Stegostoma tigrinum: one gene and its partner. The protein of the gene in region 1 purifies or fractionates together with the protein of each later gene. This does not show direct contact. Links are inferred from orthologs where the notes say so. Each region holds a gene or a part of one and is shown on either strand. Other genes may lie near its edges.

Region 1 (7,288 bases):
TGCTCCACTATATATCATGATCGTGGCTTCTTCCCCCACCCAAAGAGTGATAATTCTGCCTAGAAAGGTGGGAGAGGAGAAATTCTCATTGCATTTAAAAAGTATTTGAATATTCACTTGAAGTACTGTACCTATCAGGCTACCAACCAAAATCTAGAAAATTAGTTGACCGCTTTCTTCTGGCTGCCAAACATGATGAGCTAACTGGCCTTCCTCTGTGTGGTAAATGTTTGAAATTCGTCCTCCTTAACTCAACATTGAAACACTCTTATGGAGCCCTTATTGGCCTAGCATACCAGGTTTTAAGATAGCCTGTCTAAAAAAGGCAATTGTATTATGGGAAGTAAGATCTACAAGAATGAAAAGCACTTGCACCTATATAAATGATTTCATAAATTGGAATTAAAGAGTTAAGGATACAGAAACTATGAGTACCAGACAATCGGAGAGTATTTCATCATTTACAGAAAACAAGTCAGGTATGTGATGTACGGAACAGGTGAGTCAATTGCTGCAAAATACACCACCTATGACTTGTGTTTGTAGCCAGTATTTGTGTTACTGGTCCAGGTTTATTATTTCTTTTGCACAGTTATCATTTCATTGCTTCTGTTTTGGTACTAGATTATAACATGATCAGCCCTCACTTGATCATATTCTTCTAACACCATCTTCTTCTGCATACCATTTTTAAAAATATCTTAATACATTTTAACATCTTTGCTTCTGCGCTGTCAGGATTGAGATGAGTAGAACATCTTGATCAAGTAGAAGGCGAGGGTGAATATTTTGAAATCTCTACCCAGGTGCTGTAGAGGCCCAATTTTGAGCAGCAACATACTGCAGATGTTAAAAATCTGAAACAACAAGAAAAGCTGCTGAAAATATTCAACAGCTCTGGCAACACATGCAGAGCAGAAACAATTAATATTTCAGGTCAGCTGAAAGGTCACAGATTAGACACATTAATTCTGATCCCCTCTATAGATGCTGCTAGATCTTTTCCAATATTTTCTGCTTTTATCCCGTATCCTAATGTTGATTGTAATCTAAACAGAGGAGGCGAAGGCAATAAAGCCAGCAGTCAGATAAGATGTGAACTGTTCTATGTGGCACACACTTATACCACAAGTTTTTGCACTGTATCAACAATAAAGACCAGCTACCCATACCTCCACCATGCATCAGCTTATCTGCTGTTAAAACTCATTTCATTCTCTTCTGAATTAACTGGTTCAGCACACTCTACACTGGCCTCCCTCCATAACTGTGGGCTCATTCAAAACTACTCCCTGCTTGTTGGGCAGCCAGTGCAGACACGATCGGCCAAAAGACCTCCATCTGTGCCATAAATATTCAACAATCACAACCTGCAGCAAGTCATACTCGCCCACTGCAGTCATGCACTTAAATTGGCTTCTAATCCAAGAATGCCCCAATTTTCAAATTCACACCATTATATTAAGTTCCCTCCAGGATCCTGTTCCTCGTGCTGTTTGACATTGGCTTTTTCTACAAACCCAATCCACGTGGCCCAGTATTATCGTCAATGCAAACAAAAATCAAGTGAACTACAGATGCTGAAAATCTGAAATAAAAATGAAAAACTTTGGGGAACTTCAGAAGGTCTGGCAGCATCTGTAGAGGATGAAAGAAGAGATAATGTTTTGGATCCACTGAAGCTTCTTTAGCATGCAAGAGTCACCAGACCTGAAAAATGTACTCTGCTTTCTTTCCGTAAAGCTGTCAGACCTGCTTAGTTTCTCCAGAAATTTCTGTTTTTGTTATTGTCAAATGTGCATTCAGTTGAGCAGATCTTAAACTATAGAATTCCTTTTCTGCTGACCAGTGTTTTAAAATCTACCACACAGACCAAGATTTTGATCACCTGTCTGGCACTGCCTTTGAATCAGCATTAAATGTGTCTGATGATGCTCCTTTGAAGCACCATGGGCTGTTCTACCAACAATAAGTGTTGTTAAAATATCAAAATGAAAACTGAAAGAACTGCAGATGCTGTAAATCAAAACAGTTCTGACGAAGGGTCACTCAACCCAAAACTTTAACTCCGATTTTTTTTTGCCACAGATGCTGCCAGACCTGCTGAGCTTTTCCAGCAATTTCTGCTTTTGTTGTTAAAAATGTCAATGGATGGTACTGCAATGAATCATTTTTTAAAGTTTCTCAGGTCCAACATGGCATCAACAAATGTAATCATCTCCGAAGCACTCTGGAAAAATATCCATTTGAGCATATAAGAAGCTAATTGTTTAAAGGGATCCCATTGCCTCCTTCCATTATGTTCATAATCACAGTCTTTCTGCACCTGGAGCCAAATGTCATCAATTCACTGTCTTTGAAATGGTGTACCACAACGCAACAAATATAGGAAGTAGTGAATGAGCACAATGGGAGAAAAAAAACTCAATAATTTATATGGTGCTTCATTCTTCCAATCTGGGTAAGGGGAAAATCAGCTGGATTTTTTGTGATTCAAATCTCATTGGGTTGATTTTAAAATCCTCCCAAGCAGGGTTGACTCACTATGCAATGCCAATTCTTTAAACACAGTTCTCCAACTAAATTAATTCCTTGCATATTTTCTTCATTTAAGTATGCATTGAATTCGTATTTAAGTTATTATTAGATCTGCTTCCACCATCTTTGCATTGAACGATGGATGGATCTTTATAAGTGTTGGCAGCGTGCAGTTACAGTTCTGCTATTTGTAGGAGAGCATTAAACACAAATTCGCAGCACAAAAGACTGTTATACAGCACGAATCAGTCATACCTAGAATAGTTTGAACAGTTTCGACCCCCTTACATGAGGAAAGATCCTTAAGTAAAATCTGCCTCGAAATGTTCCAGTCAAGGAATCAAGGTGACTATCACACGAGTCCACCCCCAATATCCTTCTCCTTCTATTGCATTAAATACACCTTATGAAGCAGCTCGGAGGATGCAAAGAGGAGAGAAATGTTTGCAGTGATTCGTGGTTTCAGAAAGCAGCATTACAATGCTGAGTAGAGTTGGTTTTTTTGGGATAGATAGTGGAGATGGTCAATACAAACGGCAGCGCTCTCTTCCCTGGAAACGGCGGGAAATACAAACCAGAACCGCCTCACTCATCAGCAACAGCCGCATCTCCATTCGCCACCGTAAAGTAGTGCCCTCAACTTTTAACCTCGTCAACCGCACCCCCTTTGAATTTAGGCGCCGAAGGCAACCCATACGCACACAAAAATAAAGACTTTCTCCGGACGCCGGTTGCTCCTTTCGTGCAGAAGCTTTTCCACTGAAAATGAGGTTTCTCTCCCGCCGATGCGATCGGTCTGATTGGCGGAGGAGACGCTCCGATGCCCCCTCCCCCCGGAATTTAGAGTAAAACTGGACCAAGTGTCCCAGGATGGAGGCAGGCCCTGGGCGGAGTCAAGTGGGAAAAGTACAGACATAACCCTCCCCCGAAAACGGTCTCAAGGACGGGAGGGAGGGGTCATCGGCTCCAATTCGAAATTCGGCCTTCAACAGAGGCTACAGCCGCTCAGCCAATCAGAGGACGCCTTGAATAGCATCAGGCAGCGGCCGTTGAAGAGCTATAGCATCTCTGCTTAACCAATCAAGAGTCTCTTTAGATAAGCAGTAGGATGGGAATGATAGGCCAGTGGAAGGTCGCGTAAAATAACACACGGCGGCCGTTCAAAGGATGTGATGCACTCAGCGCTATCCTCCAATCAGAAGTGGCATTCGATTGCTTTTACCGGCACTTGCGTCATGGACCAATAAGAGATTGTGTTAGATAGGATGACTGATGGCCGGTGTGTAAAGACATTACCAATCGGGGATTGTGTTCGATATCCAAGCACGATTGGCCAATGAGAAACCGCGTTAGATAGTGCTAGGCGGCCAGTGGGAAAGCGGAACAAGCGCGCGCGTGTACTGCGTCTGGCGACACCCACCAATCCGATTAGGCGTTGGCTCGCCTGGGCGGTCACGGGCCAATGGGAGCTCCTGTTAGACAGGCCGGGCAGCTGTTGAAGGCGTGGGTGAAGCAGTGATAATGGCGGGGTTCGGCCACTTGGCAATGGCTCGCGGCGATTGACGTACAGACGGACCAATCAGATGGAAGCGGCGGTACGTGCGCCGTGAATGATTCGGCCAATGGGGAGGCGCGTCACGGGGAGCGGCAGTTTGCGAAGGGAGCAGCGCGCGCGGCCGCTGCTATATCGCTCCGCCGCCGGTGGCACTCGGCTTTTGCGCAGCTGCGGAGCCGGGCGAAGGCGTGAGAGAAGCTTGCGCTCTGGTTATTAGCGAGTGAGAAAGAGAAAACAGTCACTAATATACAGCATATCTGTTGTTATCCATAATAAATTCCACGCTGCCACCCCTTGTTTATCTATCTATCGCTCTTTTTAATCTTCCCTCACCGCGGTGTATATGTACGTTATATTTTCTAAAAGGAAGCAGAATCTGAGTGACCCAGAACCATTTATGGCCGTTTCTGCCTGAGAAAAATCCTCGTTGTTTCCCACATGAGATTCGTTAACATGGAGCTTATCACAATTTTAGAGAAAACCGTCTCTCCAGGTAAGGCGTCTAATGGGAGAGGGAGTAATATTATTTTTCTCTTTCGTGGTATTTTAAAACTGTATTATTATTTTTTTTCCCGCCCGCCCTTTTCTTTCTTTTCTCTCCCTCCTCCCCAGATCGTAATGAGCTGGAAGCAGCGCAGAAGTTTCTGGAACAGGCGGCTGTTGAGAATTTGGTCAGTATTGGATTCTGTTTCCATTTTTTTTGAATGGGTAAAGGGGGCGATGGTTTGATCTAATTCGGCTTTTTAAAAAAAAATGTGCGTGGGCTGATGCGAGAGTATGGTTGGCTATTTGATTTTTAAGATGGAAAATTTTTTATCCATTTTAATGGAGGGAAATCAAGGGCATTCATTGAGAAAATTCCCCCTTTCTACTCTTCTTCTCCCCCACCCCCCCCCCAACCTTTTGGGCGGGGGAGGGGGAAACTGGAGTGAAAAAAAATGACAGCCTAACTTGCTGGCAGGAATTACCCCGGTTGATTGACAAGGCATGACAGCCAATGAGAGTCCGGAGATTGCCGGTGGGCATGCCCGCTAGCCAATGAGGACGCCCCGAAGAGGCTGGGTTTCCGCTCTGCGCAAGTTTGGTTGATGGGAAGGGAAGCTGGGAGTCGAGGCCTGAGCGCATGTTGCCGGCTCATCCTCTCCTCCCTATGTGTGAGAGAGAACAGCCTACCCCACGCATGGAGGGGCTGGGGAGGCCTGGATCCATTATGCTATCTGATAAATTTATGCCCTTTATACCCCTGCGTTTAAATCGTCGTAAGCATTATTTCTTTTTCAATAATAGCCTGAAGATTTGCACAATTTAGGTTTTGATATCATGTGTCTGGCTTTCTTCTGGGTTGCTATCGTGTAATCTTTTCATTTGGTTAACACCAGTTGAAAGTTTCTATTTAACCGGTGTTTGTGGAAGTTAATCAATTTGTAACGCATTAAGACGTGCTGGGACGCCGTTTAGCCCTCTAGGTTTGAACCAAATGAAAACAGCCTCGCTCATATCCCAGTTTCGGTCTACGTAGATCACTATTTAGGGTGTAAATCTGAGTTTTTTGATGCATTCAGGGTATCAGTTGCTTATAACGTAGTAGATGGTGTTTGAGGTCCTGCTTAGCTCCTTGATGGAAGAACAATTCTTGTCAACCTTTCTCTAATTCTTTTGACAGTTGCTTCAAATCTATCCTAATAGAACTACCTTCCTTTCTACTGTCAAAGTATTTCAATAGACTGTAATTTAAGTCTTCCCTCAACCTTTTAGAAACATGGATAATAAGAGCAAGTACAGGCCCTTTGAGCCTGCTTCACCATTCAGTATGATTGTGGCTGATTGTTCAGTTTGGTACCGTGTCTGCTTTCTGCATGCTTTTGATCCCTTTAGCTCTAAGAGCTATATCTAACTACTCGAACATTTAATATTTTGGCCTCAACTACTTTCTGTGGCAGAGTTCACTGCATTCTGGTTGAAGAAATGTAGAACCTAAAATATAGGTGTAGAATTCAGCCATTGGCTCATTGAGTCTGCTCTGCCATTTTATCATAGCTAATAGGCTTCTCAACATCATTCTTCTCTGTGTAACTCTGACCACCTTACTAATCAAGCATCTGTCTGTCTTAAGTATACTCAATGACTTGGCTTCCACAACCTTCTGTGGTAGTGTGTTCCATGAGATTAAACATCCTCTGGCTGAAATTTCTTATCTCTGTTCTGAGTGGGGAGTTCCATATCCTTGAGCTGTGACCATTGGTTCAAGACTCACGGTTATTAAGAACATCCTGCATTTATCTTGTCTAGTCACTGTTAAAATTTTATAGGTTAACTAGGGTTGCACCATTGTTAAATTTGATAGATGTATCTTAATATATTTTAAATCCAAATGCAAGTTATTTTAGCAGGTCACCACGTGCATTTTGAGCTTGTTTCTTTAGAGATTTTCTGTTGCATCCTATTTAAGGTTATTGGTGCTTTTTTGGTTACTGTGGATTTGCACATTTGACAATGATTTCTCATCTTTTGCTTTAAACAAGGTTACTTAATGTGTGTAAATCAGGTAATTTTGGAAACTTAAAATTGCTTTGAAGTCAGTAGAAATAGCAGTAAATTGCATTTTAATCTCTAATTATTTTAATTGCAAATTTCAAGCCATTTCTTTGGAAGTACATTTGACTTTGTATGTAGTGTTTTACCACTTATTAATTTGGCTAATTGTATGGCCTTAAATTGTAGATTGCAGAATTTCTGAAAACTGTCAGCTTTTGGAAAAATTAGCTATATTTTCATAGCCTTTTCCTGCACGTTTAGTAAAACCTAACAACTAAAAAAAATACAGGCTTGACTTAAGCTTAGGTATGATATGGAGGGGCTTCCTATCAGATCCTGGCTTTAGAGATTTACCTGCTGTCAGACACTGTATCCTGTATCAAATCAGATCTAAAACTGAGCTGGTTAATTCAATCAGCTGGACCATGTAATACAGCTTAAGGAATTTTGTAGCCACTGGAAACTGTTTAGGAATCAATAGCAAGAAGAAAGGTGAGTAAAAGTTTTGAAAAGTGCATGTGATATTAGAAGAAGATGGGACATAAAAACGAAATCCTGCTTGAATAAGTGCTAGAAAAAGACAAGTATTGTACACCACTTTGGAATAGTGGTAGACAACAAAGTAAATATGAGCTGATGCAATAGGACTGAATTTTTCCA
Region 2 (7,299 bases), on another chromosome or scaffold:
ACAGCTGTTGAGCAAGGAGATCACCAGAGAACTGTTGGGAGAACTGCACTCACAGTCGCACTGGGGAGCCCAAGCATTATGTGATGCTCTCTTGCGGGTGTATGCCTGTAGGGGGATCTTCACTCTGGCAAAGCAAGCGGTCTCTCGATGTATAATTTGTCAGAAGATAAATAAGAAAGTGATGACAGCCATGCCAGGAGGGGGACAGCCATTGGCAATTCAACCGTTCCAAAGAATACAAGTGGATTTCACTGAGATCCCCAGCGTCCAGAGATGGAAGTACCTGTTGGTGATAGTTGATCACTTTACCAGGTGGGTGGAAGCCTTTCCCGCCGTCAGTGCCACGTCCCAAGTGGTGGCCAAGATTCACTTGGAACACGTGATTCCCAGGTATGGGATAATAAAGTCCCTAAACTCAGATTGTGGAACACATTTTGCTTCCAGGACACATGAACTGACTTGTGACACTTTAGGGACGAAATGTAAGTTACATGCACCATGGTACCCACAGAGCTCGGGAATGGTCGAACAAATGAACGCCACTCTAAAGACTCAGATAACAAAATTGATGGCAGAGACGAAGCTTCCCTGGACTAAATGTTTGCCGATAGCTCTGCTCAGGATACGCACCGCTCCACGCAGAGATATAGGGATGTCCCCTTACGAGATGTTGTTCGGGCTCCCATACGTGGGAAAGATAGAAGGGGTGCCCACTATTGAAGGTAATGATGTATTTCAAATGAACTATTTACTGGCAGTCTCTCGTTCCCTTACAGAGTTAAAGGCCAAAGGGCTGTTGGCGCAGAGTCCTCCTCTCGATTTTTCTATCCACTCGATCAGGGCGGGAGACTGGGTTCTGGTCAAGTCGTGGCAGGAAGAAAAACTCCAGCTGCAGTGAACTGGTCCATACCTGGTGCTGCTGACAACAGAGACAGCAGTCTGAACGAAAGAAAAAGGGTGGACGCATGCAGCACAGATAAAGGGACCAGTGGATCCGCCAGCTGAGGAAGAGTGGGAGGCACGGGAGGGGAACAACCCATTGACGTTAAAATTGAAGAAGAAGATAAAATGAAGGGTTTACACTGTACTGTTATTTTATTGTTAATTGTAGCCTGGGGAGAGGGAAAGAATCATTTTACCGCTTATGTCAAAACTATGCTAGACAAACGGGGCGCACCAACTGCTGGGTGTGTGCTGCAATCCCACATCATGGGGAGTCCAGAATTCCTCTGACCAAAGAAGAAATAGGCGAGGTGCTGCAGTTTGCCTCCACTTTAAATGATACGTGGGAATCGGTCAGGGGTGCATGGAATTCTAGTCACGGGAATTGGTAGCCACGTTGGGGAAGGTGGAACAGGAGCAAGGGGAATTATAGTTTCAAGGGATGGTTTCCTCAGCCGGCCCCAGGGACCCAAGGTGCAAATGACGGTCTCAGAGTTTCGCCACCTGGGGGACAGGTTAACTCAACGTGTTTCTGTAACTGGAATGATAGAGCCCCGTTCCAGTTGGGGAATTTGTCTTGTAAACTAAACATTCTAGCCTTAGACACCACCCTACCCCAAGTTTTGAATGGGACACGCTGGGTTTGCCATAAAAGGCGTATCCATATCTACCCGGGGACATGCACCAACACCAAGGGGAGGAGGGGTCCGGGTGAGGGAGATCCTTGCCCCATGATCAAAAGGGATGAAGTGGCTGTTGTTACCTAGCCCATTTGGTTCCACATATGAGACTCCTGGGGCGGCCCCTAAGCTAAACCAGAGACAAGGAGGAGGGAGACGTAACCTCCGAAAAGTAACTGAGGGGGATTGTCTCCTCTGGACCTTGTTACCCATGTATGGGACTGCCCGATCAGGGAGAGAGATGCAGAAGCTGGCAGCCTCTCTGGAGGAGTTGGCCAACGACACTTCTGATGCTTTAGCCGATACCCAATCCCGGGTGGAGGCCATAACCACTGAGCCGATTGCCACTAGGCTAACGGCTCTTCAAAATCAGATGGCTCTAGACATTGTTCCAGCCAAAAAGGGCGGTACCTGTGCACTAATTGGGGTAGAATGTTGTACATACATACCTGACACCTCCCCAAATATTACTGATATCTCCCAGCACGTGCGAGACCAGATCGCCAAAGTAAGGGAAGCCGGTAACAAGTACCGGAACGAAAAAGGATGGGAATGGGGAAATTGGGGATTGACCGGTGGCTGGTCAATTGGCCATTTATGGATTGCTGATACTAGTGGGTCTGGTGGTGGGGCTCAATGTCCTGAAATGTGTATTGAGCCGATTGATGACATCCCTTGAAGGGGTGACCCAGATTCACCGCCAAAGGCTTCTGCAATCGGAGGATAGTATGCAGCAGAGAGAGATTCAGAGGATGCTCCGGGCGTTCGAGGGACGGGATCCCAAGGTGCAGTTTAATCATGATGCATAGCAAAAAGAAAAAGGGTGGATTGTGAGAGATAAGGATGATTAAACTGCAGTGAAAAGAATTACTCAGCTTTGAACCAAAAGACATCTAGTACTGAGCCGTGATAAGAAAAGGAGGTGAGGGCCAAGTGGTTAGAAACCAGAATGAACTGGTCCAAAACTACTAGCAGACACCCAGAGGGTGAAAAGGTCAAGCTTTGCACAATAGACATAGTTGAAGTGCATGCCTAATGAGAGAATGCATATTAACTTTTATGCCCATGCTTGCGAAGCTGCTTAATTAACATAACATGCGATGTATGAAGGGGGTGGGACAAGGGAAGTAACGGGAAGATTGTGCACCTTGGAGCTCAGATTGGACGGAGCCAAAAGGGGAGGATCTGGCTGGAAAAATGATGTATAAAAAGAGGAGGCTCCCTGGCCTGTGTGTGTCTCAGGCAATGGGAGGCACCTGATTCTGCAGACTTGTAATAAAGCTTAGGTTACTTGTTTCTAAGACTTTGACTCCACTGACTCTGTGATTGTGAGCATGTGAATCTAAATCTCACAATAAATGAGGTCAGGGTAATAGATTGATAGGAAACAGTAACTATAACATTCAGTTTGAGAGTGAGAACTTGGGTCACAAACAACTGTGCCAAACTTAAATAAGGGTGATTACAAGGAATGACAGCAAAGCTAGCTGGAGTGGACTGTGTAAGAGGTATAAAAGCAAAACAATTAAGAAACATTTGCAGACATTTAAGAAAATAGCTCATGATTTGCAGGAAAGATATGTCCCAGTCAGACAGAACAATTCTAGGAAGGGGACAAGCCAAACATGGTTATAAAGGAAATTGAGGGTAGCATTGGACTCACCCCCTCCAACTGAGTAACACTGCAGGAAATTTAGTGAATTCATTGGCTGGTGACCACTACCATTGGGGAATGCTTCTTAAAAACCTGCAAATTAGAAAAGTGTACTAAGTGACTAACTGAATGTCAAAGACAGTGCAATAACGGAGAACAAGAAATAATAGGTAAGTCAGCCGAATTATGATCAGAGAAAGATGGTAAGGTTAACACGGGAGAAACTTTTAAGGTTAAATAAGACCAGGGCATCATAAGATATAGGATAATTAGGTCATTCAGTTTGCAAGAATCATTCGAGGAATGAGAAAAATCAGTTATAAGCTGAAGAAGTTGGGGTGTTATAATTGGAGAGAACAAGGTTAAGAGGAGATTTGAGATAATGGGAACTGCAGATGCTGGAGAATCCAAGATAATAAACTGTGGAGCTAAATGAACACAGCAGGACAAGCAACATCTCAGGAGCACAAAAGCTGACGTTTCAGGCCTAGACCAGCTCTGATGAAGGGTCTAGGCCCGAAACGTCAGCTTTTGTGCTCCTGAGATGCTGCTTGGCCTGTTGTGTTCATCCGGCTCCACATTTTATTATCTTAAGAGGAGATTTGATACTGTTTTTCAAAATCACGAGCGAGCTGCACAGACGTGACAGGTAGAAGCTGATCTCTTTTGTAAAATTAAAAAAAATTAACTTGATGGACGATAGACCACCCTGCAAGAGCTGAATGGATTCCTTCTGGTTATAGTTTCCTGACAGAGAGTGAAACAGAGTATAAAAAGTGACATAGACAGTTGGTACAGAGATAGTAGGACCTGCCGATGCTGGAGCATCCGAGATTACACGGTGTGAAGCTGGATGAACACAGCAGGACAAGCAACATCAGAGGAGCAGGAAAGTTTGACGTTTCAGATCAAGACCCTTCATCCGAGACAGTTGGTACTGGTTTTGCTGTGAACGGTGGGGGCGGAGAGCAGAAGCTGCCGTTTTCAATTTGCGCGCGCCTGCAGGAGCCAAGGCCCCGCGAGCCCCCGCGCGCTGCCGCCATCTTGGATCAGAGTTGTTTCTGGAAACAGCCGCGCGGCCCCGATAACAACAACAACCGTCAGGCAGGAGTGAGGACCGACAATGGGTAAGTGTGTGTGTGAGGGAAGGGGGTTCGGGGGCGAGGGAAGGGGGTTCGGGGGCGAGGGAAGGGTTGTGGTGGGTTGAGGGTGAGGGGACAGGAGGGGTGGGGGTTGCGGGAGGAGTCGAGGCAGAATTGGCAGGACGGGAGGGGCAGGGATGGGTTGAGGGGACAGGAGATGTAGGGGCAGGTCGGGAGGAGTGGGGGCAAGGGTGAGGGTGTGGGGGCGGGACACGGGGAGAGGGGAAGGGGGCGAGGTGGACGGGACGTGGGGAGGGGGGGGGGGGCGGAGCGGGGAGGGGGGGGGGGGCGGAGCGGGGAGGGGAGGGGGGGGCGGAGCGGGGAGGGGAGGGGGGGGCGGAGCGGGGAGGGGAGGGGGGGCGGAGCGGGGAGGGGAGGGGGGGGCGGAGCGGGGAGGGGAGGGGGGGGCGGAGCGGGGAGGGGAGGGGGGGGCGGAGCGGGGAGGGGAGGGGGGGGCGGGGCGGGGAGGGGGGGCGGGGCGGGGAGGGGGGGCGGGGCGGGGAGGGGGGGGCGGGGCGGGGAGGGGGGGGCGGGGCGGGGAGGGGAGGGGGGGGCGGGGCGGGGAGGGGGGGGCGGAGCGGGGAGGGGGGGGCGGAGCGGGGAGGGGGGGGCGGAGCGGGGAGGGGAGGGCGGAGCGGGGAGGGGAGGGGGGGGCGGAGCGGGGAGGGCGGGGCGGGGCGGGGAGGGGGGGGCGGGGCGGGGAGGGGGGGGGGGGGCGGGGCGGGGAGGGGAGGGGGGGGCGGGGAGGGGGGGGCGGGGCGGGGAGGGGGGGGCGGGGCGGGGAGGGGAGGGGGGGGGGGGGCGGGGAGGGGAGGGGGGGGGGGGCGGGGAGGGGAGGGGGGGGCGGAGCGGGGCGGGGAGGGGAGGGGGGGGCGGGGCGGGGAGGGGGGGGCGGAGCGGGGAGGGGAGGGGGGGGCGGAGCGGGGAGGGGGGGGCGGGGCGGGGAGGGGGGGGCGGGGCGGGGAGGGGAGGGGGGGGCGGGGCGGGGAGGGGGGGGCGGAGCGGGGAGGGGAGGGGGGGGCGGAGCGGGGCGGGGAGGGGAGGGGGGGGCGGAGCGGGGAGGGGAGGGGGGGGCGGAGCGGGGCGGGGAGGGGAGGGGGGGGCGGAGCGGGGCGGGGAGGGGAGGGGGGGGCGGAGCGGGGAGGGGAGGGGGGGGGCGGAGCGGGGCGGGGAGGGGAGGGGGGGGCGGAGCGGGGAGGGGAGGGGGGGCGGAGCGGGGAGGGGAGGGGGGGGCGGAGCGGGGAGGGGGGGGGGCGGGGAGGGGGGGGGGGGCGGGGAGGGGAGGGGGGGGGGCGGGGGAGGGGAGGGGGGGGAGGGGAGGGGGGGGCGGGGAGGGGGGGGGGGGGCGGGGAGGGGAGGGGGGGGGCGGGGGAGGGGAGGGGGGGGAGGGGAGGGGGGGGCGGGGCGGGGAGGGGGGGGCGGGGCGGGGAGGGGAGGGGGGGGCGGGGCGGGGAGGGGAGGGCGGGGCGGGGAGGGGAGGGGGGGCGGGGCGGGGAGGGGAGGGGGGGGCAGGGGGGGGCGGGGCGGGGAGGGGAGGGGGGGCGGAGCGGGGAGGGAGGGGGGGGCGGGGAGGGGAGGGGGGGAGGGGAGGGGGGGGCGGGGCGGGGAGGGGAGGGGGGGGCGGGGAGGGAGGGGGGGGGCGGGGAGGGAGGGGAGGGGAGGGAGGGGGGGGCGGAGCGGGAGGGGAGGGGAGGGAGGGGGGGGCGGGGAGGGAGGGGAGGGGAGGGAGGGGGGGGCGGAGCGGGAGGGGAGGGGAGGGAGGGGGGGGCGGAGCGGGAGGGGAGGGGAGGGAGGGGGCGGCGGAGCGGGAGGGGAGGGAGGAGCGGGAGGGGAGGGGAGGGAGGAGCGGGAGGGGCGGGGAGGGGGGGGCGGAGCGGGAGGGGGGGCGGAGCGGGAGGGGGGGGCGGAGCGGGAGGGGGGGCGGGAGGGGGGGCGGGGAGGGGGGGCGGAGCGGGAGGGGGGGCGGGGAGGGGGGGGCGGAGCGGGAGGGGGGGGGGCGGAGCGGGAGGGGGGGGCGGAGCGGGAGGGGAGGGAGCGGAGCGGGAGGGGGGGGGCGGAGCGGGAGGGGAGGGAGGGGGGGGCGGAGCGGGAGGGGGGGCGGGGAGGGGGGGGGCGGAGCGGGAGGGGGGGCGGAGCGGGAGGGGAGGGAGGGGGGGCGGAGCGGGGGGGAAGGGGGGGCGGGGCGGGGCGGGGTGGAAGGGGGGCGGGGCGGGGTGGAAGGGGGGGCGGGGTGGAAGGGGGGAAGGGGGGGCGGGGTGGAAGGGGGAAGGGGGGGCGGGGCGGGGGGGAAGGGGGGGCGGGCGGGGGGGAAGGGGGGGCGGGGAAGGGGGGGAGGGAGGGGCGGGGACGAGGGGGCGGGGACGGGGGGGCGGGGAGGGGAGGGGGGCGGGGAGGGGTGGGCGGGCGGGGCGGGGAGGAGAGGGTGGGGGCGGCGCGGGGACGGAGGGAGGGGCAGGGAGGAGGGGGCGGGGAGGGCTGGGAGGGAGGTGGGGCGGGGAGGGCTGGGAGGGAGGGCTGCGGGGGAGGGCTGGGAGGGAGGTGGGGCGGGGAGGGCGGGGAGGGCTCGGAGGGAGGGGGGGGAGGGAGGGGGTGGGGGGGAGGGGCCGGGGGTGGGACGGGAGGCGGTGCGGGCCGAGTGGGCAGGGCATGGGCCGACTGGGATGAGGGGACGGGGACGGTGGGGTGGGGTGAGGGGATGGGATTTGGGTGAAGGGTCGGGGCGGGGACGAGGCATGGGGTGAGGGAATGGGAGGTACAGGGGCTGGGTGAGTGGATTAGGGGGCAGGAGGTGCAGGGGTGGTGTGAAGGGACTGGAAGGGTGAGGGGATGGGAGGGTTGCTAGTGGGCTGAAGGGGACGGCTGGGGTGGCGTGAGGGGGAGG

The links.
Region 2: the proteins of kpnb1 (region 1) and importin subunit alpha-7 purify together in Homo sapiens (affinity purification with mass spectrometry; 4 studies listed by BioGRID and IntAct, with this or other methods). This does not show direct contact. The link is inferred for Stegostoma tigrinum from reciprocal best matches to the Homo sapiens genes KPNB1 and KPNA6.

The regions. Positions count from the first base shown.
Region 1 is NC_081384.1:5,015,176-5,022,463, reverse strand, and holds the start of kpnb1 (importin subunit beta-1), read left to right. Parts: upstream 1-4,232; 5' UTR 4,233-4,531; coding exon 4,532-4,586; intron 4,587-4,705; coding exon 4,706-4,764; intron 4,765-7,288.
Region 2 is NC_081377.1:47,829,226-47,836,524, reverse strand, and holds the start of importin subunit alpha-7, read left to right. Parts: upstream 1-4,297; 5' UTR 4,298-4,399; coding exon 4,400-4,403; intron 4,404-7,299. UniProt on the Homo sapiens protein: Functions in nuclear protein import as an adapter protein for nuclear receptor KPNB1. Binds specifically and directly to substrates containing either a simple or bipartite NLS motif.